Caenorhabditis elegans: one gene and its partners. The protein of the gene in region 3 purifies or fractionates together with the protein of the main gene of each other region. This does not show direct contact. Each region holds a gene or a part of one and is shown on either strand. Other genes may lie near its edges.

Evidence for each region.
Region 1: the proteins of wts-1 (region 3) and nxf-2 fractionate together in Caenorhabditis elegans (co-fractionation; one large-scale study listed by BioGRID). This does not show direct contact.
Region 2: the proteins of wts-1 (region 3) and sec-24.1 fractionate together in Caenorhabditis elegans (co-fractionation; one large-scale study listed by BioGRID). This does not show direct contact.

Annotation. Positions count from the first base shown.
Region 1 is NC_003283.11:14,414,651-14,420,951, forward strand, and holds nxf-2 (Nuclear RNA export factor 2), read right to left. Parts: upstream 3,186-6,301; 5' UTR 3,146-3,185; coding exon 2,834-3,145; intron 2,787-2,833; coding exon 2,700-2,786; intron 2,652-2,699; coding exon 2,505-2,651; intron 2,455-2,504; coding exon 2,392-2,454; intron 2,346-2,391; coding exon 2,214-2,345; intron 2,163-2,213; coding exon 2,098-2,162; intron 2,052-2,097; coding exon 1,640-2,051; 3' UTR 1,497-1,639; downstream 1-1,496. Other genes in the region: nxf-1 (Nuclear RNA export factor 1), read right to left, coding at 1-187, 236-362; C15H11.11 (Cytochrome b-c1 complex subunit 10), read left to right, coding at 1,164-1,312, 1,358-1,496; set-31 (SET domain-containing protein), read left to right, coding at 3,446-3,604, 3,743-4,051, 4,099-4,392, 4,441-4,553, 4,600-4,717, 4,764-4,907, 4,954-5,125, 5,172-5,374; dhs-22 (DeHydrogenases, Short chain), read right to left, coding at 5,550-5,745, 5,801-6,301. UniProt on the Caenorhabditis elegans protein: Involved in the export of cellular mRNA to the cytoplasm. Plays a role in the nuclear retention of unspliced mRNAs.
Region 2 is NC_003282.8:11,560,338-11,568,900, forward strand, and holds sec-24.1 (Protein transport protein Sec24C), read right to left. Parts: upstream 5,858-8,563; 5' UTR 5,855-5,857; coding exon 5,755-5,854; intron 5,712-5,754; coding exon 5,544-5,711; intron 5,500-5,543; coding exon 5,392-5,499; intron 5,349-5,391; coding exon 4,402-5,348; intron 4,351-4,401; coding exon 4,096-4,350; intron 4,044-4,095; coding exon 3,812-4,043; intron 3,762-3,811; coding exon 3,301-3,761; intron 3,251-3,300; coding exon 2,369-3,250; intron 2,323-2,368; coding exon 2,095-2,322; 3' UTR 1,649-2,094; downstream 1-1,648. Other genes in the region: pold-2 (putative DNA polymerase delta small subunit), read right to left, coding at 803-1,236, 1,282-1,371, 1,417-1,495.
Region 3 is NC_003279.8:10,290,474-10,300,381, forward strand, and holds wts-1 (Serine/threonine-protein kinase WARTS homolog), read right to left. Parts: upstream 7,455-9,908; 5' UTR 7,374-7,454; coding exon 7,251-7,373; intron 6,287-7,250; coding exon 6,029-6,286; intron 5,648-6,028; coding exon 5,390-5,647; intron 4,875-5,389; coding exon 4,666-4,874; intron 4,608-4,665; coding exon 4,502-4,607; intron 4,456-4,501; coding exon 4,348-4,455; intron 4,104-4,347; coding exon 3,537-4,103; intron 3,254-3,536; coding exon 2,913-3,253; intron 2,759-2,912; coding exon 2,398-2,758; intron 2,349-2,397; coding exon 2,157-2,348; intron 1,870-2,156; coding exon 1,666-1,869; 3' UTR 1,606-1,665; downstream 1-1,605. Other genes in the region: T20F10.2 (Si:ch211-1a19.3), read left to right, coding at 7,836-7,864, 8,802-8,871, 8,918-9,035, 9,085-9,250, 9,389-9,517, 9,567-9,903. UniProt on the Caenorhabditis elegans protein: Phosphorylates yap-1 which may negatively regulate yap-1 nuclear localization. Plays an essential role in larval development.

The DNA of each region.
Region 1 (6,301 bases), on a different chromosome or scaffold from region 3:
ATTATTTGATTAAGCTGCTTGATCAGCCACTTGGCATCAACTTTCTTGGCAGCTCCAGTAGCACGGCACTTGTAGACGATGTCAGCATTACGAACTCCAGTGTTGGCGATGGATGCAGCCGATTGTCCGAAACCGCGTGATGATCCTCCACGACCACGGCTACTGGCAGAAGTAAGGCTTGCACGAACTGAAACAAAAATAAGTTGGCAAGGATATGAATAAATCTAAGCGTTACCTGGAACGGCAGGCTCGTCGTCGTCTTCATATCTGCTTTGAGTGTCTGGGTCAAGTCGAGCAAAACGATTCTTTGTACGTGACAATTGCTTCGCGTCACGATGCCCTCCAAACCCTTTGCGATTCATATCTGAAAGATTTGTATTTCATCGAGGGAAAACTGGTATCGAAAAATTAAATTAAAGGTGTAGGTGAAACACAAATAAATATGATATTCAAGAGAAAGCAATATTGAACATGAAAAGTTATAATAGACAAGGAAAAGTTAAATTTTTACTCATTTCGAAAGTGTTGCGAAACTGGGACGGCTGCCTCATTCCAGCCGGGAGATAATTTAGTTTTGCGGAAATCAGAAAACTCAATGAATCAGATTTTAAAACTATAATTTCACATTTGGAACACTAAGCAAAGAACGGCAATTCGAAAATTGGTGAAACTGAATCATATTTATGCAAAAAAAAATCTCGTGACTTTTATCGGTTGTGCAAACACCGTTACGCAAAAATGCAGACGAGCCCCCAATTTGACGACATAAACAAGAATAAAAAATGTTTTAGGCAAACATGTTTCATGCGAGTCAGAAAATGACGTGAATTCTCGGTTAGAATGATAGTAACACTTAAGAGGCATGATAAAAATCGATCATGCAAAATATTAATCGTTGAACAGTGATTTTCAATTTCGCCGACTACAGTAACCGCAAAAAGATACTACTGTAATATATGAGTAAATTTTCAATATTTCACTGTCACCTGTCAACAAAATATACATATTTCTGCAAATTCAGTGGCTATATAGATAGCAGTAAAAATACGAGAAAACGTTTTGTTCCCCGTAATTTTTGTTTGCTCACCACTCTTTTCCCATCTTCGCAGCCAACAATTTCCAAAACATCCGTCTCTCTCCATTGTTCTTACAACTAAAAGAATATGAAGAAGTACACCCCTGATTCGCGTCTTGACAATATTGCGCCTATTCCGACGCGTTTTGAACGTCGGAAGATGTTGCCAGACATCGGAACTTCAGCCGAATTCACATTCTCCCGTGTTCCCGTATTTCCCGGTTTGAGGAAACCGGGGTAGGTATTTCCACGAAAAGTCTCTTGAAAATGGAATTGTTTCAGAAAAAGAATCATCGCGATCTACCTAGCGAGTGCTTCAATTGGATTCGCAGCTGCTTGGTTTGGTGCTGCCACTTTTGATCAGGTCAATTTGAAAATTGATAGCTACAAAGACCGATTAGACATTGTTCCATACAAATAATTTTTAAAAATGAAGATTAACAAATAACTGTAAAATGTTGAGACAAAAAAAAACATGCTAGGTGTTGGTAACAAGATATGATCCGAAACTAGACATAAAAATACAAATAGGATGCCGTTTAAATGTATGAAAATATATAATTTTCACTGGTCAATGTCCGTTGCTGTCTCCACTAGCATGCGGTACTGATCGCCGCGTCTTTTTGACATCGAGCTAATGAACAGCTGATCGGAAACAATGGCGACTTTTCCTTCGCCTCTTGGAGCAACCATGAATGTTCTCGTAAAATAATTATCATGTTCCTCAGTGTTCTCGGGCTTTATCGCAGATGGTCCGTCACGAAATGTTCCATGTAATGTGAATCCGAGAAGTGTTGCCGAAACAAGGAACACGTCAACTACGAATGTATCCATCAGATGAATTGTGGCAGGAAGTCTCGAAAGTGCAACTACGATATCCATTGCACCGTGTGATATTCTGGAGGCCCGATTTGCGGCAAAATATTCCTGATTCAGAACATTGTGCGAAGTTCTCAGGTACATTCGATAGCTCTCACTTGAAATATAAATAATTATTAAAACCTTAAGACTTCAGACGGTACCTGTCCGGATACATGACAAATTTAATTGGGTCCCACAAGCAGACAACTGTATGCGTGAATGTTGACTGAAAAATATATGTTTATATTTACTACTGAAAAAATGCAAGAATCAGCACGTTATTTGTGTCGTACGCATCCAGAAGTTGCTTCCTTGTCTGCTGTCCATCTGCGCCATCGTAGATTTTGTAATATGTGATGATAAATTCTTCGACAAGAGTACGAACTTCATCACTGCCATAGTATCCATTCTAAAATAATTAGATGATTCGGGAATGTAGAAATATACTGTATCACCCTGAATGGAATTATCTGCTCGATTCTATTGTGATCTGGTTTTGGTTCGACTTCCATTCCATCCTACAATTTAGATAGAAATTGAAATAATTGTTAGGATATTCGTGAATTACCAAATTTGAACATTTTGGGAATGTCTTTTGAATAAAGTTGGCATACTCGGCACATTGCACAAACTTCTCGCAGACTGGATTTCCCTCGAAAAACACAGTTTCTACTGGAATCGTTCCTAACTTCTTCAATTCTTCTCCTGACGAAATCTTAGAAAAAAAAGTTATGAAATTTAAGAATACAAAAACTTTTAAAACCTGATTATGACTCAAGTCGAGGAATTTTAGAAACTTGGATATGCTCGAGAGAGAGGAGAGATGGTCCAAGTGACAGAGCCGATTATTCTGAAAATTACATGGAATTAATTATTTTTTCACAAATTAATCTAAACCGAGAATGAGATTCCGGAAATGCGAGGATATTTGTACCCAATATGCTGTAGAACTACCGACATCACTCTTGTCTTCGTGAGGCACATCAACATGTCCCTTTCGACAAATTCTGTGTTTTTTGAAAAGTTCGACAGGTTAAGAACATCGTCAGTCGCAACATAACACCCATCCACGACATCTTGGACAACCTTGATTTCAGCTGGCCTCAAGTTTGTGACATGTGTCTGGCGTGGTGAAGAATGCGATGAATGGGATGAAAGGCTGAGCCGTCCTTCGATATTCCGATAGCCTCGCCGATTTTGTCCACGCATAATCTTAAAAAGTGAGCATTTAGTTTGAAAAATTGAAGTCGATTTGAAGACAAGAAAATCACTTCGTAAATCTACAGCTACCGTAGTCGCAAGGTGTGTCAATCCATGCGAGACCTCCTCATCCTTTGCAGAAATCATCTAAATTTTTTAATTTAGCCCAAATATTTATTTTTTATTTTTTAGCTAAAAAATCAATCCTCAATTTTTTTGCGAAAAAATAGGTATGTTTAAATCGAAAAAAAAAAGCAAATAAACCGGTAAACGAACTTTCAGGCTGCAGTGCAGAAAAAAGCACCACGAATGACTACGAAGGATATTAAAAAGAAAGCAAAATCGCGAAAGTCCAAGAATGCGATCAAAAAGAATGCATCCAAGTCAAGGAAATGTGACAAAATCTCCACCCAAAATACCGGCAAGGTGGACACCGAATTTTATGAAGTTCAAGATATCGTTCGCTCGGTGTGTTTCTTATAGGGTTATTCAAGTAATGTTGTGAAATTTAAAATTGTATTCAAATACATTTTGATTTGTTCGTGTAACTCAAAAGGTAGTTGCCAAGAAAATTGTTTTCAAACCACCATAATTACAATATCTCAGAGAATCGAAGGACGGGAGATTCAATATACAGTCAAGTGGACGAACTGGAATGGTGGTGACACGGAAGAAGCTGAACGACGACTTGTGTGCACCGAGAAGCTTATGGGGTATGCTGCAAGGACATTGAAATCTTCATACGTAACGAATCTTGACTTTTTCCTCCGAAATCTGGATACCGCGCTTAGTGACTTAGTATTTTTCACGAACACTTTGATACCTTTATCAATCGTAGCGGAAGCCACTGTTTTCGGATCTTCGGTCAAGTTTGTCACGAGAGACAACATCGGAGCAAAGATTATGTATTTGAAAGTGAGTATTTTCTATTTACCCGTACTGGTTTAAAATCGAATTTTCAGTACATCAAAGAGCATAACCAGATGCATCTTCTACACTCCTTCCTCGTTCCACAAATTGATAGAGTCAACAGCAGTCATATTCAGTATGACAAGGAGATGAAATATCAGAGACAGATTTTCGAAGATTATCCTTTCGTCAAGATCTTCTACCCAACTAAGAAGCAATCAGTCCTCTTCCCTCCGCCTCCATTGCCAAACATCTTGTTTGAACCAGTTACAGAAGAAATGTATAAGAATCGTGAAAATTTTCCTCACTTTTTCCCTCGGAAGGGTATAAAAGCTGGATTCAACAATGTGAGCATTTATTATGTTTCTTCTGTTTCTTAAATTCACAAATTTCAGGTTCGGCCATTCATCGACCGGTTGTATTTTGCCAAAGACGAATCACAACAGCCAAAATATCTGAAGGAGGTTGATGAGAATAAGTACGAGGGAATGCGAAGAATCAACAAGGCGTATGTGTTTTGAAAAGTGTTTCAGATTTTAATTATTTTTATTTAGAGTGAACTCGAGATTCTCCATACCACTTGAAATGAGACAGGAACCCGGATCGGGCTGGTACATATTATCAGCTATGTACAGTCTCCCCAATGTTCCTCTGATGGTCATGACTGGAGTGGTAATTTTAAAAACTGTAATTGTAATTGTATAATATTTCATCTCAGATTCGACCAGCCGAAGTTGCTCGAGAATCTTTGCGAACTGAAGGAAAAGAGGTTGCATTCAGTTCTTTCGTCGAAATTCCAGGAACAGATTTGTGCCTCGATCGTCGAGAGTTCTATGACTTCTCAAAATTCATTCCCCACAGCGTGAGTTTTATTCAATTAACTATTCTAATAACTTGATGATATCCAGTGTAATCCAACATGCAATGTTCGTTTGGTTGAATCAGGAAACGACATTCCTGATCTCGTGATTTACTCACGTTTTCCCCTCGACGAAGGCAATGGATATGTGATCACCCTTGATTATTTCAAGGCTTTCAAAAAAGAGGTTGAGGAATACTTCTCAAAGGTTGTTGCTCCAGGTACGTTCTTGATAATTAGTTTTCCTAGATAAATGTCCTCATTCAGACGGCAAACTCTTCCATCTCCTCGAGAAGGATATCGACTTCGTGCAGTGCAAATGTGAGCACAAGTGCCGAGAGATTGTATATATCGACCAGTCAGCGAAGAAGAAGTCCGAGAAGGAGAAACTGACGTCGACGTTCAATGGCATGTCTCTGGTAGAGTCACCAAAAATCTGGAAGATAAAAAATGGTAATTTCCTCGAGTGAAACTCGCTGTAAAATGTTTTCAACTAGTTTTGTTTTTCGTTTTGTTATGTATTACATATTTATTCATTCAATGAAATTTTAATTTTAAATACTTGAATATAAAGCCTTTGTTAAAGTTTACAATGGGATTGATATGAATTCTTAATAGAGAAATTATTGTAGCTGCGCTGGCACATTACTTGGCGAGGCCAGTACATTCCAAGCTATAATTGTACAAATCCTGACAGGCCTGATCATCCAAGGCTAGTGGGTTTTCTTGGGTCAACTTGCAATCGGCAAAGTATTTTCCACTGATTCCACCGATCTTTTTGCCCAATGCAAGGAAGATTGAAGTTTGAGCTCCGTCGCGGCTGGTTTTCATGAGGAACCAACTGAAATTAATTTTATTTATTTTAAGGTTAAGTGTGGAAATTTGGCTTGGCTTACCGGAAAACAGCTGTAATCTGCTTGATTCCTGGTGTATTCAAAATGGTATTTCTCGCGAGCTCGGTATTAACAACTCCTGGGTGCAGGGAGTTAACAGTCACGTGTTCGGCTCCGTCCTTTCTCAATTCCTTAGTCAAGGCTCTTGCGTGCATAACATTTGCCAACTTGCTCTGTCTGTACGATTTCATCATTCCAAACGATTTCTTGTCATCTACAGTAGCCAAATTAATTTTCTCGGATTTCAAATGAATACGAGATGAAACATTGATGATTCGAGCGTAGGAAGACTTCTTAACAGCTGGCAGAAAAAGTTCGGTGAGCAGAAATGGTCCCAAATGGTTGCTCTGCCAAGTTTTCTCATGACCATCCTTGGTTTGCTCGTGTTTGCTTTGAAACATGATTCCAGCATTATTGATAAGGATATCAATGGTGTCAGTCGATTCGAGAGTTTCCTTGGCAGCTCGTCGTACACTTTCAAAATCTGTCAAATCACATTCAATG
Region 2 (8,563 bases), on a different chromosome or scaffold from region 3:
TCAATGCATTTTTTTTCACAACTTTCGAGGTCCGTAAAATGGCTACAAATGTGAATTTTTGTAGATTTTTGATGATTTCTAAGATGTTCACGGCCGGTAAACATTCAGATTTTGTTTTTGGGAATGTTTAAAAATTTTTGAAAAAAATCTGAAATTTCGCAATGGACATGGATTCAAAAAATCGAAAAAATTCCAAAACAAATTTTGAATGTTTGCCTGCCCCTGAAAATCTTAGAAATCATCAAAAATCTACAAAAATTCACATTTGGAGCCATTCACAGACCTCGAAAGTTGTGGAAAAATGCACTGAACATTTTTCAGGGAGACTTTTTTCCAGATCAAAGTGGTCCTCTGCTGCTAAATTTTTGTAGGGGCCTATTTAAAAGATGCTCTTTCAAATGGCATAGATTTCATTCAGAAGTCCGGGATTAAGTGGAAATACTTAGATTAAAATATCCGAGAAAAGGTGTAATTTGGTTGTTTTTCGATTTAAATTAGACAAAAAAACAGAAAACAAAAGATTATGCGCCTTTAAAGATTACTGTAGTTCCGAACTTCTGTAGATTTTCTTCGATTTTTCATCCGTTTCTTTGAAATTTATTGAAAAACATGTGAAAATGTTTTTCAAATTTTGACGAATTAATGAAAAATCTGCAACAACGAGGAGTTGGGAACTACAGTACTCTTTAAAGGCGCACTCTTTTGTATTAACAAAAATCGGTCGCTTCGAGATCGTGTACCGTAGTTTTGGAGCACAATTTTAAAGTTGGAATAGTATTCAAGTTACAGAATTAATACTCACATCGTCTTCCAAATCTCCAGTTAGATCGAGTCCACTGACGAAAGCGATAGTCCCGTCGACAGCCACTTTCTTTGGAACTTTTACAGATGGCCAAACCAAACGATTCACATGAAATACTCCTTCTTTTCCTAATTTTCCAAGAACTCCAACACAACAACCAGTTGCACACTCATCCATTGAAATATTTCCTTCCAGACGTACTGTCTGTTTATCTGATTCCAATTCGATTCGATCTTCAATGCTTCCAGCGTATCTTTTCACTTCGTCTTCTTCGGCATCTTCTTCATAATCATCATAAGCCACTTTATCCTCGTTGAGCAACGATTTCAAAATTGATGGTCTTGCAGCTATTCTCTTTACAATAACGCCGACCACGAAGATTTCCTCGTCTTGTTTAGCATCGCTCAATTGTGAATGCGTGAATTTTCCCTTGCCTGAAGATAAAAATTAAGGTTTATTAGTAATATTATAATTCTAACCAATTTCACGTTCTGCATTTTCCAAAATACGAGGTTTCAGTTCCTTCAAGCGAGCTTCGTAGACTTCAAAGTACTGTCTAGTGAACGCACCTGAAAGAAAATAACTTTTTAAAGCTTAGAGCAAAATATAAATACCTTTTTTATCTTTTTCAGTGAGAATGTATCGATCTGAGACATTCTTATAGTTTAGGATGTTGGACCAAGCGGTTTCCATTCTTAAAATAAAGAAAAAAATCAATTCAAGAAGGCAAATTTGTCAATGTTGAAATTTCGCGGCAAATTGCGTTAGAGCGCGTTAACATTACACCGAAGTGAATTTCAAAAATATAATATTCACAAAGTCAACATATTCGATTCTCAAATGTTTAATCAAAAACATTTTATTTTCATAAGACACCATCAAATTAAACACATTCGATCCCATTTCAAATCACAATAAATTATATGGACGGGGTAATAGGGGATATTTTACAAAAAAAGGAACAATAAATAGAAATCTCTAAAAGTCGCGAGAGCAACTGGAAAAGAATAAATTAGGAATCTGGGAAAAAGCAGATAAAACAAATTCTATTTTTGCACTGATAAGGTGCTAGGAAAGCTAATATCTTAATTTTTACAAACCATGCTCCATAATATTAAAAGAAAATAGTACGGCGAGAGGGAAGGAAATGAATGTGTACAAAGAAACCGGTACAAAATATTAATTCTTCCAACATTTCTAATCACAAGATTTGCTTTGGCGTGATCAAAATAATATGAAGGAAGAACAAAGGGAACAATCAAGAGAAGCAATTCTATCACAGTATCAACGACTTAGGAAATGAGATCGCGGATTTTGCGATGGATATCCACAAGGTAATCAACGTATGACATATTAGCAGGACCAGCCTTGTCTTCCACTAAAAATTTCTTCATCCATGGCTCAAGGCCGCTTTTTTCCACGACAACGAACGTTTTTCGCTCTCGGATCCCACGTGGCAAAAGTTGAATTGCACGACGAAGAGCACGTGAATGACCATTGTCTTTTTCCGGAATTGTTCCCTGAAAAATGTAATTGACTAATTGAACGTAGCAATTGATAACTTACACTCTCGGTATCAATTTGATTTGTAGCACCAACACCAAACACGTCTTGAACCCATGTCTGGGGGCATGCAGAGCCAACCCAGACAAACAGAATAACACCGTTATCAATAATATAGGCTTTCGAATTTTCCAGGAACTCAGAACTCGCTCTAACAGGTTTTGGAAGATCCTTCATTTCTTCAGTATCATTGATTTGTAGATCAGAGATTGGCATAACTCTTGGATAAATAAGAGGCATGACATTTTCAGTTCGTAGCCCACGGATCAATTCCATCTGCCACACTTTGTCGTCGACTGTCATTTCACTTCCTCCACTGATCGCATCATTTTTCAAAATAGAGTTCACATAGAGCGGCATCAATTTCAGAGATTCAGGAAGAATCAGTTGTCCAAGTGGGGCACCTTCACTACACTTCTCTCGATAGGTCGCTAGGAATTGTGCACAACGAGAAGAAAGTGATTCTCTCATTTCTGAGCTTCCCTTGTCACGATTCAATTGAACAGCTTGCTTCAACATGAATGCTGTCAATGCTTCCGGATCAGCAAGTCGGTAAACTTGGTTGTAATCAGCAGTAACTGGAAGGCATAAGTTCAAAATTCGCAAACGGCGCTGTCCAGTCATCGACGTATACAGTACAGCGGTTTGAATGAAGGAAGCTGGATCTTTCAGACTATCATCATGTTTGATTTCTGTGATGAATGCTTTGCTTTCATCCAATGTAGCCAATTCCAAATCCGTTGAGTTTTCCATGTAAAAGGAGCCAGTAAAAGTGATAGGACGAATTCCTGTAGACGTTCTTACTCTTGCCATGCAGTCGAATGCAATTTTCTTAGAAACGTGTCGTTCCAACTCATTCAACATGCGAACACCGTCTTTATCGGCCTGAAATAAAAATAAAATTAATAAAATTATTGGTTTTTCTTTAAATTTACCGAGAAATACTGAAATTTGAAAATAGATCCTCCCGTAACTGCAGAAAGCTGACCAATTGTGGCAACATCAATGAAAGCATTTGGGAAGAGGAATAAATCGACAGTAACTCCTGACTTGACACATTGCTCTCCCAACTTCGTGTATGAATCTTCTTGTGGAACCAGTGCATTCTTTTCTTTATCTGTCCCGAGAAGAGATCGATCATTTTTGGATTTCAGCTTTCCCGGTGCATCATATGTTGGTAGAACAGTTGAAAACAGAATCACTTTTCCTGCTCTGTCGGCACACTTCAAAGCGTCAAGACCGGCTTGTACGACGGGTTGAAGAATGGTTTCGGTGGTTTTCGACTGCGAAAAGAGTTTAGGAATTTCAGCCAATGCGGCACGAAGTCCAGGAAGTGCCTCGTTGTAAGGGAGAAGAAGTCCATCGACCATAGGAACAAATGGCTCTTGAACATCAGCTAAAAACAGTACATATTTAGACAAATTTTTATAAGTTTATCAAACTTACACATTACGAGCATTTTTGGAGATGCCGACGAAATGTCAAAGAAATGAACCGCCTGATCGAATGTAGCCAATCCTATACGCATAGACGACTCGAGCTGTCCAGATTCTCTTGGCAAATTTCGAAGTACTTTCTCCAGATTTTGACAAAGAATTGGAAGCATTCCGTTTGAAATAGCATTGTAGGATACATCAATCATAAATATGAAGGCCGGTTCTTTTGGCGCGATTCCATTCTAAAAATGTCACTTAGAATTTTTGAAAATTGCGATTTTTTTAATTACGTACCTTGCAGTATTGTTTTGTAGCTACGAGATCATACGCTCCAAGACAGAGTTCTGGACGCATTTCAATATCAGTTCTTCTGCCTGTATGATCGAGATGGGCGAAATAAGCATCTTCGACAGAAGTTCGAGCATGGCAAAATGGACAACGGAAGGAGCGTCCACCATCTTGGAATTCCATAAACGGACAAATGTATGCCTTACAACGCTGGCAACGAATCGGTCCTTGTGGTCCCAGATCGACGACTGGTGGTTCTTTCTGAAATTGAAAATAATTGATTATTCATTTTTGAAAAATTAAAAAAAAAACCTCATATTCAGTCAGAGATGCGAATGGCGAAATGACAACGGCGAGCGGAATCTGCGATGCTTTCAAAATGTCATTAGTCTGTGGAGCTGTGTAGAGGGTTGATCTCATAAATTTGGGGTTGCAGTTTCCTTGATCTTGAGCGAAAGAATTTGTAGAAACAAGTGGCGGCAATTCAGCGTTCGGATATCCAGTTGGGAAGATCCCGCTACGAGTCGACGAATCATCATCAATAACTTGAACAGCACTTGGCATCATATTAGGATCAAGACGTTGTTGTCGTTGCTGTGGTGGGCCGCCGGGGTATCCACCTTGCATTCCCGGCATACCTGGACCTCCTGAGGGATATCCGCCGGGACCTCCTGGGCCTGGAGCTCCTGGAGCGAATGATCCTGGCATTCCTGGTCCTCCTGGGCCTGGGGCTCCCGGGGGAAATGATCCCGGCATTCCTGGTCCTCCTTGTCCTGGAGGGAATGCTCCTGGCATCCCTGGTGCAACTGGAGCTGAGGCTCCCGGAGGAAATGCTCTTGGCATGCCTGGGCCTTGTGGAATATCTGCTGGGCCAGAGGGATATGATCCTGGAACTTGTGGACCGGGTGGAAACGAGCCCGCTGTGGGTTGTCCTGGTGGAAATCCTCCTGTGCCAGGTGGGATGAACGAATTGGGCGCTTGAGGCACTTGTGGAGCACCTGGGTAAGCGCTAGGAGCAGAAGATGGTCCACCTGGGTAGCCTTGAACATTTTGTGAAGTGGGTGCTCCAGCTTGGAACGAACTTGGAGAGCCGCCTGCCTGTGGAAAACCAGGGATTTGTGGTCGAAGCGGAGTGGGTTGATGGATCTGATGTGGTTGTGGCGGCAGATGAGCTCCTTGGTTCATTTGCGGAATTCCCGGAGTCGGAGCAGGCGCTTGTTGCATTGCTTGAAGTGGACCTGCAGGTGTGGCACTAGGAGCTAAAATAGAAGTTTTAGCTTTGCCTCTATAAACACTATTTACCTTGAACACTTTGAGGTACAGCGGCGAACTGTTGAGGAGTTTGCTGTCTCTGTACTTGTTGCAATTGCTGTGGTGGAGCTCCGGGATATCCTGCTGGCTGGTACGGATCTTAAAATTAAACTTAACGGATTAGCGAAAAAAAAGCAACTCACTTGGGGGTTGTGCTGACGGAGTTGATCTAGCTCCAATAGACATATTATTCACAGATTGTGCCAAGTGAGACGAATTTCCATTTAAGCCTCCATTTTGATACTGTCCATTTGGTTGCTGATGGGGTGGAGGAAATCCACCTGGGACTTGAGCTGGCTTTTGCGGCGCTGCTAAAACAATTGTTGTATTATGCAAATGTTCATATAAACTCACCTGGAGGGGGAAATCCGTTTGACTGAAACTGCGGCTGTTGGTTAAATTGCTGTTGAGGATATCCGGGCATTTGCCCGTTTGGTGGCGGCTGATATGACATCCTGGAACAAGTATAAAGATTATTTTATATTTTTCAAAATAAAAAAGCTAGAAATCGAGCTAGAAATTAATTAAATCCCGAAAAGAACGTTGATTTTGCTGTAAAGTTCCATGTCACAGCGCGATCCACCGTGTACGCAAACGTCGCGGTGGGCAAATCGCTGCGAGACCCAGCGTGCTGCGTCTCTTCAGGCAACAGCTGTCTCTCTTCATTTCGGCACTTTTTGAATTTTAATTTTTTGTTTTGTTGTTTTTTTTTCTTTTTTCTTTGTTTCCGTAAATGGAAATGTTGATAATTATTTAGATTACACCTAGGCGATTAAAAATTACTATTTGAATCAGGATTCTGTAGGTTTTGAATAGAATATTACCCGCTAGTACTGCTTGTTCAGTTTAATTCGGGAAATCCTTCTAAACTCCAACTAGATGTGATAATAGACCTTATTAATAATATCGATGCACGTTTTTGTGTGCTCAAAATTACAAAAATTTGGCTAAACACATTTATATTCAAAGTAAGGTTTCAAAAAAAAAAAATTTCCTCACGATATTCATTAATGAGGTTCTTATTATTTATGCTAATTGTGGTATAGATCGCCAGCTGTTTCTCAATCCCTTTCTCGTTTTCCGTATTTCGTATTCAAACCGCACCGCCCTTCTCTGTTTTTCTGGATCTCACCGTCCATTACTGGCAACAATAGGAAAGAGTTTTCTTTTATTCTGACCTCTTCCCTCCCTATTCAGTATGTTTGTACAGTTTCCATTTACATTAGTCACTCGCTCACTTTTTGACTTTTTTTTTGCAATCTTTCGGCCCACTCAAACCCTCAAGAAAATGTATCAGTTTCAACTTTGTTCCTATAAATATTGATATCAGGGTGTCTACACGTTTCACTGTTTTTTTGTATCCCGGAACATTAGTAACACAAATGACCCGATTCCAATGGCAATTAGGCGCTTCGAATCCTTTCACCGTCTGCCACTTATGGTCTCAAGGTTAAGTTATTATTGTTACTGTCAGGTACTACCCATCGGATAAAAAGACGATTGAACATCCCTCACGAATGTTTAATTTCGAACTCTATTGAATATACTTGTAAGAAATATTATTTTGTGCTTATAGTTTTTTCAAAAAATGCTTTTAAGCTTCAGTTTGACAAATAAATTCGGCTTCGTTAGCTGAATTTCCCTTGCCCTTTCACTTTTGATCAATTAGTGCAGAACGACGGATGGTTTAAATTTTACGATTCCCTAAAGACTTCATTTCCCAGGCACGATGCTAAAATAATGTAATTGTGTATCAGAAGCGAAGTGAAATCGGTAGAGAACACTTGCGTCAGGTGTCACATATCCTTTTTTGGTCCTTTTCCTTCGTTCTATTCACGTCCATTAGGTATTTATTACTTTATTAGAGCTTGTTATGACGAATGAGCCGCGGATAAACAATGCATGTTCTTTTACTTCTTTTGAGTGTGTGCCGCCCGCATCCGCCGCTCAACACATCCATTATGATGCTAATAAGTTTTATCCTTATTTTGTCGGTCATGAATTATACAAATCCGCATTTATTTTACTTACCCGATTTTTAATGACAATTTTGAGTTATGAACTTGAAAGCATTGAAATTATTTTGATCAATTTGTGGGTTTTATTTATTATTTAAATTTCAAACCCAGTATCGTTATACTGAATACGACTCGTAAAATATCATAGCATTTTTCTAATTTTTAAAATAGGTTTTTTAATCAGAGAATTTTATTGACCTAGTTTCGACATTTCCGGCTGAATTAATTGAGTTTTTGTTTTATAAATTGAAGCACAATTTATCAGTTTTTTCGCAATATTTAGAAATATTCTATTCATTTTTACTGATATATTCAGTAAATCGAGACAACACTGCTCTCAAGTTTCTCGATATTTTACAGTGACACATGGAGTTAAAGTATAAAATACTGTAGGATCAGATGTAATCGCATCATCATGAAATCCGCTTTTGAATCCCTTAGCCTCTTCAGAAGGACACTCGAAACTAATTTGGTTTTGACCCGATTCACATCGTTCTTTTATTCGTTTACTATTACTATTAGAATACCGTCCATCATCCGCTCCCTACATGTTTTCATATTGTCTCCTTCGACATTTATAATGTTTTTATTCATATGTTTTCAGTCTATTCTTTCTTTCTTTCTTTATTTCAACCTGTATTAAAGAGCATCCACGTCATCGTCTCCCCCTTTCTCTGCGTTTCCACTACTTGACCTAGTCTCTCGATTATCGCTGACAATCTCGAATTTCATCACAACATCTTCTCTTCTTCGACGCTCACCAGTTGTGGCTAGTCGATAGGCACCGGATCTCCATGTCCTTCTGCCGGTCACGCTTGACTTCTCAGCCCTCCACCATGTTCATGGATTCAGTGATGGGAATTGGAATAGCTTCATAGATTTTCTTTCCGGACCGGTCTTTTTTGGAGATTCTTCTTCATTCGGGAAGAACATGTGTCTAACCACCTACGTCTCTCTAGTCTTGACCGCTCTATCGCTCCAATCCGTGTTTACAGACCTTGGAAAGGCTCGGCGGAGCGCGCACGCACCTCTAGTCGTCGAATGCGCTTGTTAATTACGGCAAACATACGTTTCACACTTTATTTTTCTCTTTCTCGACGCACATTTCGAATTTCTATATGGTATTGCAAAATGCAAATAAATAT
Region 3 (9,908 bases):
TTCCCTATTTTTCGAATTCGTCCATCCTTCGTCGTCGTCGTCTCGTCCCAAATCCCTTCCCATCATCCCATTCCATCCACCCGTCTTAATTCTTTAACTTCTTGACATTTCGTTAAGAAATATTGTTTCTCGATTTTTTTTTTTCAGGTTTACATCCAAGAACTTTTTTTCTTCAACATTCAGATCGAACAACTTTTTAAAAAACTAATTTTTCAAACAATTTTGCTTGATATTTGTAATATTTTCAAATTGTAAAAAACTCCTGAAACAATTTCAGATCGAAATTTTTGAGGTAGAGCTTTGCCGCTTAAAATTTTGCAGTAACATATCCTATGGAACATTTTCAAATGGCATCTTTCTCTCGCTTTGAAGTCTGACGGTAAAATGAAAACCTTCCCTTGTTAATAAAAACATCTTTATCGTAACAAAATTGCATCTATATTTTCTCTTTTCCTTTCAAGAAATATTCTCTTTTTAGCTTCAACTAAAATGTATCTTTTTACAGACCTCAATCAAACGACGATGCATGAAGGATGGATGGCATGGAAAAATGGAAGGAAAAATCCAAATCTGTAAGGATTTTTTGATGTTTTAACTAAACTGCAAGTTTTTACAGATGCTGAAAGATGTGATGGAACAAAATGGCGCTCAATGAATGGAAAGATCTGGACGATCGGGATGGATGGATGGATGGATTGGAACGATCGGTAGGGATTTGGGACGAAACGACGACGACGACGACGAAGGATGGACAAATTCGGGACGGATCGGGATGGACGGTAAGTGAATCCATCTTGCTCCTTCTTGTGAGTGTAGCGTCCCCGTTACGTTTACCTGGCTTGAACTGAACTGGTTTGCTTGAATCTTTCACTGTCCAATTTCTGAACCGGGTTCAAAAGTAGCAGGCAAGGGCTGCATTTTCGGATTTACTGCTACCCCCTGAGTTGATTTGTTTGGAAACAAGCAAATCTTGTACCGTACTCAGAGGCAGTGAAATCGATTAATCTCTTAATGGGAAATGCGAACTCCTGCGAAAATAAGAACAAGGAGACTGGAAATAGCGTCAAACAGACGAGGGCTTATCGGACGGTTCTTGCCACATAGGTAAATTGTAATGGGCGATGCTGCGCAGTTCTAACGGTACAGAACATCACTTGAAGTGCTATACGCTATACGCTATACGCTATACGCTATACGCTATACGCTATACGCTATACGCTATACGCTATACGCTATACGCTATACGCTATACGCTATACGCTATACGCACTGTAAATTCAGAGACTTTCGGTGTAATTCCGAAAGACGAAAAACCAGTAATAATTTCTCAATGTGATTGATTTTATTGGCACTACTGACAACTGATCCACTTTTTGCATCCAAACATAGAATGTTTAATTTCTAAAAATTTCATTGAATAAAAATTCATTTGAGCAAAAAAAAAACGAACGAAATAGTGTGGCGACATGAGAGAAAAAGAGAAAAGAAAAGAGATATTAAAAATATCTCGAATTCTGAAAACCGTATCGAGATCATCACAGAATTAGTAAAGAGGGTAATTTGGAAAATTAAAGATAAAAATAGAAGCAAAATGAGTAAAAAATGATACTAAAACATCACATTAAAATCATATATAATATAATCAATAAACAAATTCATGCTCTTTTAAATATGAGACGATGAATCTTCTTCCGACACTGACTCATTAAAAGTTCCGTTTTCAAGTAATGGCCGAAGTGACCGACGACGAGATGGTCGAAGTGATGGGCAACCAACAGAATCCGTATCAAAGAAATGACGATAAGTGAATTCATAGAAGGCTGGATTATGAAGACCTCGCACATTCGGCTTGTCAGCACGGTCATTGTCCTGGAAATTTGGAATTAGAAGTGTGATAGGTTTTGAAAGAAAACTTTTCAAGATTCCAAATTTAAGTTAAAAATTTGAGTAGTGAAACTCAATTATGTTTTTATTGGAGCTGCTATGTATAATAGTTTCAGAAACTCCACAATTAATTTACTTTAATTCAAATAAAAATTCTGTATTTCAAACTCAAATATTCATAATTTTGATGCTATCTTTTTTATGTCTACATACATAAAATTATATCTAACTTTTTTAGACACTCTAAACAAAGTTTAAAAGGAAAAACTCACTTGAAACGTTTCAAAATTAGAAGTGTCTTCATCGTGAGTGACCCGAGGAATATAAATATAATCAGCTCTCAGTTTTCTCAAGTTAACCCAGTCAATTCCCCTGAACCATGGATGATTTTTGACTTGTGCCGTTCGTTCGGCAACATCCTTCCCGTGAGATCCCAATCTTGACGACGCGTCACAAATTAGTTGCTGAAAAAGTTTTGGTCTTCACAACGTCTATTTAAACAAAAAAACTTACTTGAATCATCATAAGGCACTCTTTTGATAGATTTCCACAATATGTAAAATCAAGGAAGTTTCTCCAATTCTTAATTCGATGTTGTGTTCCACCAGGTGTATCATCATGAAATGGCACTCTTCCAAATACCATCTCATACAAAATCACTCCAGTCGACCACCAATCACAACTCTGATTGTGCCCGGTTTTGGCAATTACTTCGGGTGCCATGTAATTTCCTGTTCCAACAAGAGAATGGGCGGTTATCCGGCGGGTTTGTTGTCGAACATTTAGAACTTTAACGCTTTTATCAATAGCTGCAACTTCAGGAGGAAGCGAGAATGAATCGACACGATGATGGTCGTTTTCAGGTCCATAGTATCTAGAAAATATTGGATGGTTTCATGTGTGACTTAAATATTTTTTGCACAGATGTTGAGCACACCAACTACAATTAATCATTTGCGTCGCGCCTAGGCTCTATTCCATTAGACACCCTCTCTTTCTCGTGACAAATAAACAATACATAATCTTACCTTCTGTCATGAGTCCACCTCAAACCAGTGCACAATCCAAAATCAGTCAACTTAATATGTCCATGTTGATCAATTAGAATATTATCCGGTTTCAAATCTCTATGAATAAATCCAACATTATGAACATATTCAATTGCACATGCCAGTTCAGCAATGTAGAATCTAGCGAGATCTTCTTCAAATATTCCTTTTTGAATCAATAAAGTCATCATATCTCCTCCGGGAACATATTCCATTATGAAGTATAGACAAGCATCATCTTGAAATGAGAAGAAAAGACGAACAATCCAAGGAGAATCAGCTTCTGCCAGAATATCGCGTTCGGCTTTCACATGGGCGGCCTGAAAGAAAATGGTGTTTTTAGTCAAAAAGTTTTGAAATTATTTTTCGATCATATCGCTTTACAGTCACATTTTAAAAACTACTAGACTCACAATATATCTGATATATTTTCCTACTAGTAGCAAATATAGAATCAATTAAATTAAAAAAAAAAAACCTAGAGTATCAAAAATGTTAGACTTTGCAGTTTTCTTACTTTCTATTCAAGGTTTTATTTCAAACGTAGGACACCAATATTTTCAAATTTTTAAACCAAGATCCTAAACAAATAACAAATCCTACCTGTTGTTTCATTATGACATCCGCTTTTTCCAAACTTTTCATTGCATAAACCTTCCGAGTATCATTTTTTCGAACCAATGAAACTTTTCCAAATGCTCCAACACCAATATGTGAGATGACAGTGAAATGGCTTTTACTCATCTTTTGTCTTCTTAATCTCGTATATTTTGACTCTTTTTGTTGAAGTAATCCCAGCATTTTATTCCTCATAATATCCGGTAATTGAGCTGAAACCATCTCCTTTTCCAACTGTTTCATTCGTTTTTCTCGTTCTTTATATTGCTGTAGAAGTCGTTCAACATGTTGTTCCATATAAAATCGAAGCATATTTGGTTTACATGGTTGAACTCTTCGTGTATTCTTGATGTATGGTTCCAAAAGTGTTCGATCAATTGGGGAGCTGACTCGTTTCGGAGGTGGCTCACTGGGTTGATTGTATTGAGGAGGAGGAGGTTGAGCACGTGATTTCATTGTGATTTCGAGATTTCTTGGTTTGAAAAGGATCGGCCGGAAATCTTCATGATTTGCATCGGAAGTGGATGGAATCAGGCGAGGGTCGGGACGCAGCTGAAATCATTTTATTTTTAGGGTTTATCCCCGAACTTTATAACAATTATTGTTCTATTCATAAAATTCAACTGGGCTCTCGAAACCGATTCTAAAGTAGTTTTGCAAATTTTTGCTGATTATGGGTGTCTGCGAAGACAAAACTTTTAGTCTCTTATATTTTATGAGCTCTGTCAAAAAAATGACTCTAGAAATATCAGTTAAATATTTCAGAAGGTAGGAGTTGAATTTTTCTCAAATTTACCTCATCTTTATAGTTGACAAAATTCTTCCTATCGACATCAGCTGTATACCGTGGACCAATAATGAATGATTTGCTTGGAAGAGGACTATCACCAACATTTACTTTTGTCTGAAATTAAAAATGAATTTTAATATCATTTGAGGTCATAAAATACCGTATGAGGAGAAGCAACATTGATACTAACAACACTACTAGCTGTTTTTTTGTCCATTGATGTATGATAAAGTCTCTGGATATTATCTGCTTTTCGTTCTTCACTCCTGAAAAGTTAAAGCAAAAGATTTATAGAATCCTTCTGATATCGTTTAGAAAACTTACATTGTCTCGATGGAAATCGTAGATTTTGCTGGAGGAGGCGGTGGGGGTGCCATATTCTTGTTGTGATTGAGCATTGTTGGATTCGGTGGTGGCGCTTTTACAACAGGATGAACTTTCATATGCAGGTGAGTACGGTAGTTGTCTGTTGCAACTGGAGTCATTCTAGTGTTCACCGGAGATGAATCGTAGGCTGGTGGAGGTGGTCGAGACTGAAAATTTTCATTTATTAAAGTGTCAGGTCTGCCTACTAGGGGTGTTTGTGTGTACTTTATTGGACTCTTTAATTTATTTTACAAAAAAAATTTCAGAAGTTATGAACAGGTCACAAGAAGGTCCCCCTATTGCTTGAACTAGGAGTATTTTTCAAAGAAAGTTTTGGTCCATTTTCTTTTCAGCTTAAACTTTCAAACTTTGTCAATTTGGAAGTATATTTTGTTACTAATTTTAGTTGTTCACACGTGTCTCGCCGTTGATTAAAGTGCCTTTTCAGTTTACGGGTGCACTAAATATTATCAAATATGTGACCGAAAATGTAGCCAAATCAACAGAAAAACATGGAACGAACGACCAAAATATGAAAAGTGATAATCGCATTGACAATTTGGACTTTTTTCAAAACTGAACCACCGCAAACCAATTTTTTTAAAACAAAATTTTAAGTGGGACTTCTCAGAAAAAGTACTTTCCGATTCTTTAGTATTATATTTTTTCGAGAACAACTTACATATCCTGGTGAGTATTGTGGTGCATTGTTATTCATATGATATGCAGGAGTTGGCATATCATATCGATATCCAGCAGGATGTATCCTAATCGACTCTTCAGTTGTTGTAGAAGGTGTTGATGATATAGTTGTTGATGGATTTCCATTTCGAATCATCTCTTTTCCACTTCGAAATACTGTCTCATTGGCACCAGTATCCATCATTAAATGTCTTTGTGGCATTGGTGTTATCCGCATCTTGTGACCACCACCTTCTGTCTGAAAATATGATTTTTTCACTTTTGAACCACCACCCTTCACCACTTTTGAAGATCATAAATCGATTCATAGTTGACAATTTTCATAAAATCCCAAAGTTGAGCTGAGCCACCTATTTCATAATTTTTTATTCAATAGAATTTCTAGCTAGTTTGCTACAATTCCATTCTTTTTTTTTTCGAAGAAAAATATGACGCTTTCGGCCGGTCTATGTATAAATTTCAAAAAAGTTATGTTTTTTTTGGGCATACGAACTGACCTAGACGGAAAATTTGACGGACAATTTTCCCAGCCAATCGAATTTTATTTTTTACTCTCAAAATGTTTTTCCATTCGATTTCCAGGACCATTTTTGATTAAAAAAAAAGAAATGTGACTCACTCTAAAAGAATTCGAATTTGATACAGCAGCGCTCGAGACTGTCGTCGTCGTCGCTGCTGCATTTGAAGAAGAAGACGAAAAATTCATCACTTCCGCATTGTCATTGGTGATGTCAGAATGGCTGACGGAAGAACTTGACGGTGTTGCAAGTGATCCAAGAGCCACGTGACTTGATAATAAACCGGCTTCATGTTCGTAAGCTTTCAGCGATTCGCGAATTTCGTCGAGTTTTGCACGATGACGCCCCACGCGGATTTCCTGGAAAAACAATTGGTTTAATTAGTTATGCCAAATTATGGTACCACTGCCCAGATGCGAATTTTTTAGAATTTTTGTAAAAAAAGGATTTCTTTAAAGCAAAAAACTTTGCGTTTCTATGGAAGTTTTCAATGTTTCAACACTGAAATTGTACATTTTTCTGAGCAATTTATATATTTTTCATATGAAAAATACTGATTCATTGATTACGAAACTATTAAAAGGTGATGCTTCTAAATGGAATTTTAGGTGATTTCATTTTCTTATCAAAACCGCCATTCCAAGTGATAACGTCTGCCATGAAAGCCCCGCATTGTCTCGGAACGCCAAAGTGTTGAATAAGAAAGGGTGAAGTAATTTTGAGGATTTTTTTTTAAATTTTAATGAGTTCTACGAATCTTGAACAGATTTTGAAATTCAAATCAGGAAAAAAAAACATGGAACTGCAAAAAAAAATGATTTGCGATTATAGATGTATTTACAAACAATAGCAAAGCCAATATAATTTAAAAGAAGACCTTTTGAATAGGACCCCACAAAAAATTTAGCAACAGAAGAGCATTTTGAACTAGAAAAAATTGGTCCGAAAATGCTAGAGGTAATTTTTAAGTTAAATAATTTTTTAAACGGAAATCTGAAAGCATTTTGATCGAGTTGATTAGGGGGAGAACATTTTTAAAAATTTTATTAAAACTCCTAGAATTTTCAATTGCTCTTAATCACTGAAAAACAACATGTCTGCAAAAAATAGCTTTTGGAGCAAGTCTACAGCTCTCGAAAGTTGTGAAAAGAGCACTAAAAAGTTTCAGATCGTGACACTTTGCCGCTTAAAATTTACAACGATCTAGTTTAAAGGTCCTCTTTCAAATGACACATGGTTCAGCTGAAAATCTAGGGAGTGATCAAGCCAAACAGATCAAGATCTGAATCAATAACCCAATCACTTTTCCAAACCAAAACCTACTGAATTGTGATGGGCATCTATCGCTGAATTAGTAGAGCCAAATGGGATCGGAGCAACTCCACGTTGATGTCTGATATCAGAAGATGCACCATTTGGAGTAGTACCAGGGGCAGCAGGTCGCATTCCAGGGGAATACAATGCAAAGGAGGGCCTCCTGCCGAACACTGACAAACACACACACGGAGAAGGCGATGGGAATGGATTGAAGTAGAAGAAGAAGAAGGTGAAGAGATAGAATGAAATGATGAGAGAGACAGTGATACAAAACTTTCTGTGTCTCTTATCGTTATGTGGTCTCTTTGCTTCCCGCCGCTCTCTCTCTGACTCCCGCAGGAAGAGGAGAAAAGTCTTTACTCTCTTTTGCAGGACATCTCTCTTTGTCTTATTCTCTCGTGTTGTCTCTTCCAACATTCCTCATCCCTCGTCACTCTAACATCTCTCCCCGACTCTCCAACCTTCTAGTGCTCATTTTCTGCCGTTTAGTTTCCAACACATTTAGGACGCCTGTGTCTCGGAACCTCTCGCCGTATCATCAGCGGCCATCATCGCCCGTCGAAAAGACATACTTGCCGGTATCCCCCCGTCATGTCATCCAGCAGAAAGCCTCTCATACGGTAAGTTTTTAGAAGCTTTTTATAAAACTCTGTGTTTGAACAAATATTTTTAAAGATGTTTTCCTGTTTAAAATTTGAATTGAAAGCCGATTTTGAGAACAACTTCGAAGTGTTGAAAATTTTCCGGATTCAAAAATGTGCACAATTTGTAAAATTCACCAGCTTTACTGAATTTAAAACAAATTTTTAACATCTGTAGAAAAGGGGTGCTCCTTGCCCTCGCCGGTAGTGGAGAGGCACTCCAGGCGCCCCTGTTACTGTCGACTGTGCCTGCGTACTTTTGAGAATATATATTACCTTCAACATCTATATTTTAAATACTGAATATTGGAATTTTCCGACAAAAAAATTACTCTGGCTTAAATTCTCAACCAAGTTTTCAAATTGTTTCTGTAATTTTGCATAAGACCCAGTAAGTGCTATAGTACATCATCAGCTTTTGTAATTGAATTAGAAATACGTACTCAAGTGATTTTAGGTTAAAACTGGAAATTGGAGTTGTAATTTTTTCACTGGAATGATAACTCTATATATTACTACTGAAAGAGTCACAACTCTGTAGTTTTTCTTATTTAAAATGCAGTTTTGAAAAAATAACAGTAGACATAAGCTTGATACTCGAATTTTCTTGTATTGACTCAGTTTTCTGTGTTTTTATGAATTTTGATGATTTTTTAAATCAAACAACTATGCATTTCCTCTAATTCTACTACAAATCCCCTTTAATCTCCGTTTTTTTGCATTCGTCAGCCTATCAAAAATCGATGTCTCTTTCCTTTTTGTATCTATGACATCCACGCAGTCTTCCGTTTGCATAAAAACGAAACGGTGCGCCGCAGATGTCGCGTGGCTTTTCCCTTTTTTGTAACCATTAAACAAACATATAGATACATAGAAGGACAACGTTTAAATAAATATTCAATTTTTTTTCTTTCAGGAGCAGTTCACACTCGGATCGTCCTACTACAATGAGGAATTGGCCCCTTTTTGTATTTCTTATTTGCCTGGTAATATAATTAACAAGAAGTCAATGAAATTATACACTTTTTGCAGGTATTATTCTTTTACGCATTCTACGTATATCAAGCTCAAGGAGAAGTTTTATCCCAGACAAACGAAGAAGTTCGACAACTATCCGCCCAGCTGAGTCTCACCAAAGGAAAGCTTGTTGGTTAGTAATTTTCTGCCGTTTATCTGAAAATATAGTATCGTTTCTTTAGGAAGTATGGCAGATTTGGAATCAGCGAATAGTGAGAAGAAGTCAGTGTCAATTCAATTGGATGATATTACAAAGAAGAACGAAGAGTGTATGACATCCTTGAGAAATACGAAATTGAGAGTTGATACACTTGAAAAAGACGGAAAATCGAATACCGATAATTATACGTGAGTTGGGGAAAAATAACTACAGTAATAATCTACACTACTCCAATCAAAAACAATTCAACAAAAATCAACCTTAGAGCTCAGTTCATTAATTAAATGAATATATTTCTCCCAAATTTAAATAACCAACACTTTCAGAAAAATGCAAGAAGAACTATCAGCGCTCAAGGAAAAAGCTGAAGAGCTTCAACGAAACAACACTGCATTGAATTCTCTTGTCTCCACACAAGCACAACTCATCAACCAACTCAATCAGACTATTGGAATGTAGGTTTCAATTAACGTTACCAAAATATAATTTGTTTTTATTTTCCAGTATTCAATTCGAAAAGGAAGAACTCAAAAACGCTGCTCACCTTAACAACTTGACTCCAAAAATCGAGAAGCCAAAGGATAAGCAAGCGGAAGAGCAAAACGCAGAAGAGCAACATAAGGAAAAAGAAGTTACTGTGACGACTGTAACCACACAACATTCACGGGAAGAAGCTCAAGTAAAAGAGGATAATCAGGCACAATCCACAACAACAGTTACATCAACGGAGAGTCCTGTTGGAAAGTTGGATGAGAAGAATCCAGAGATTGAAGAACCTGAGCCAATTGTCGCCGAGCCAGATGCAGTTGATGGAGATGAGCAAGACGACAAGGAGACATAATTTAA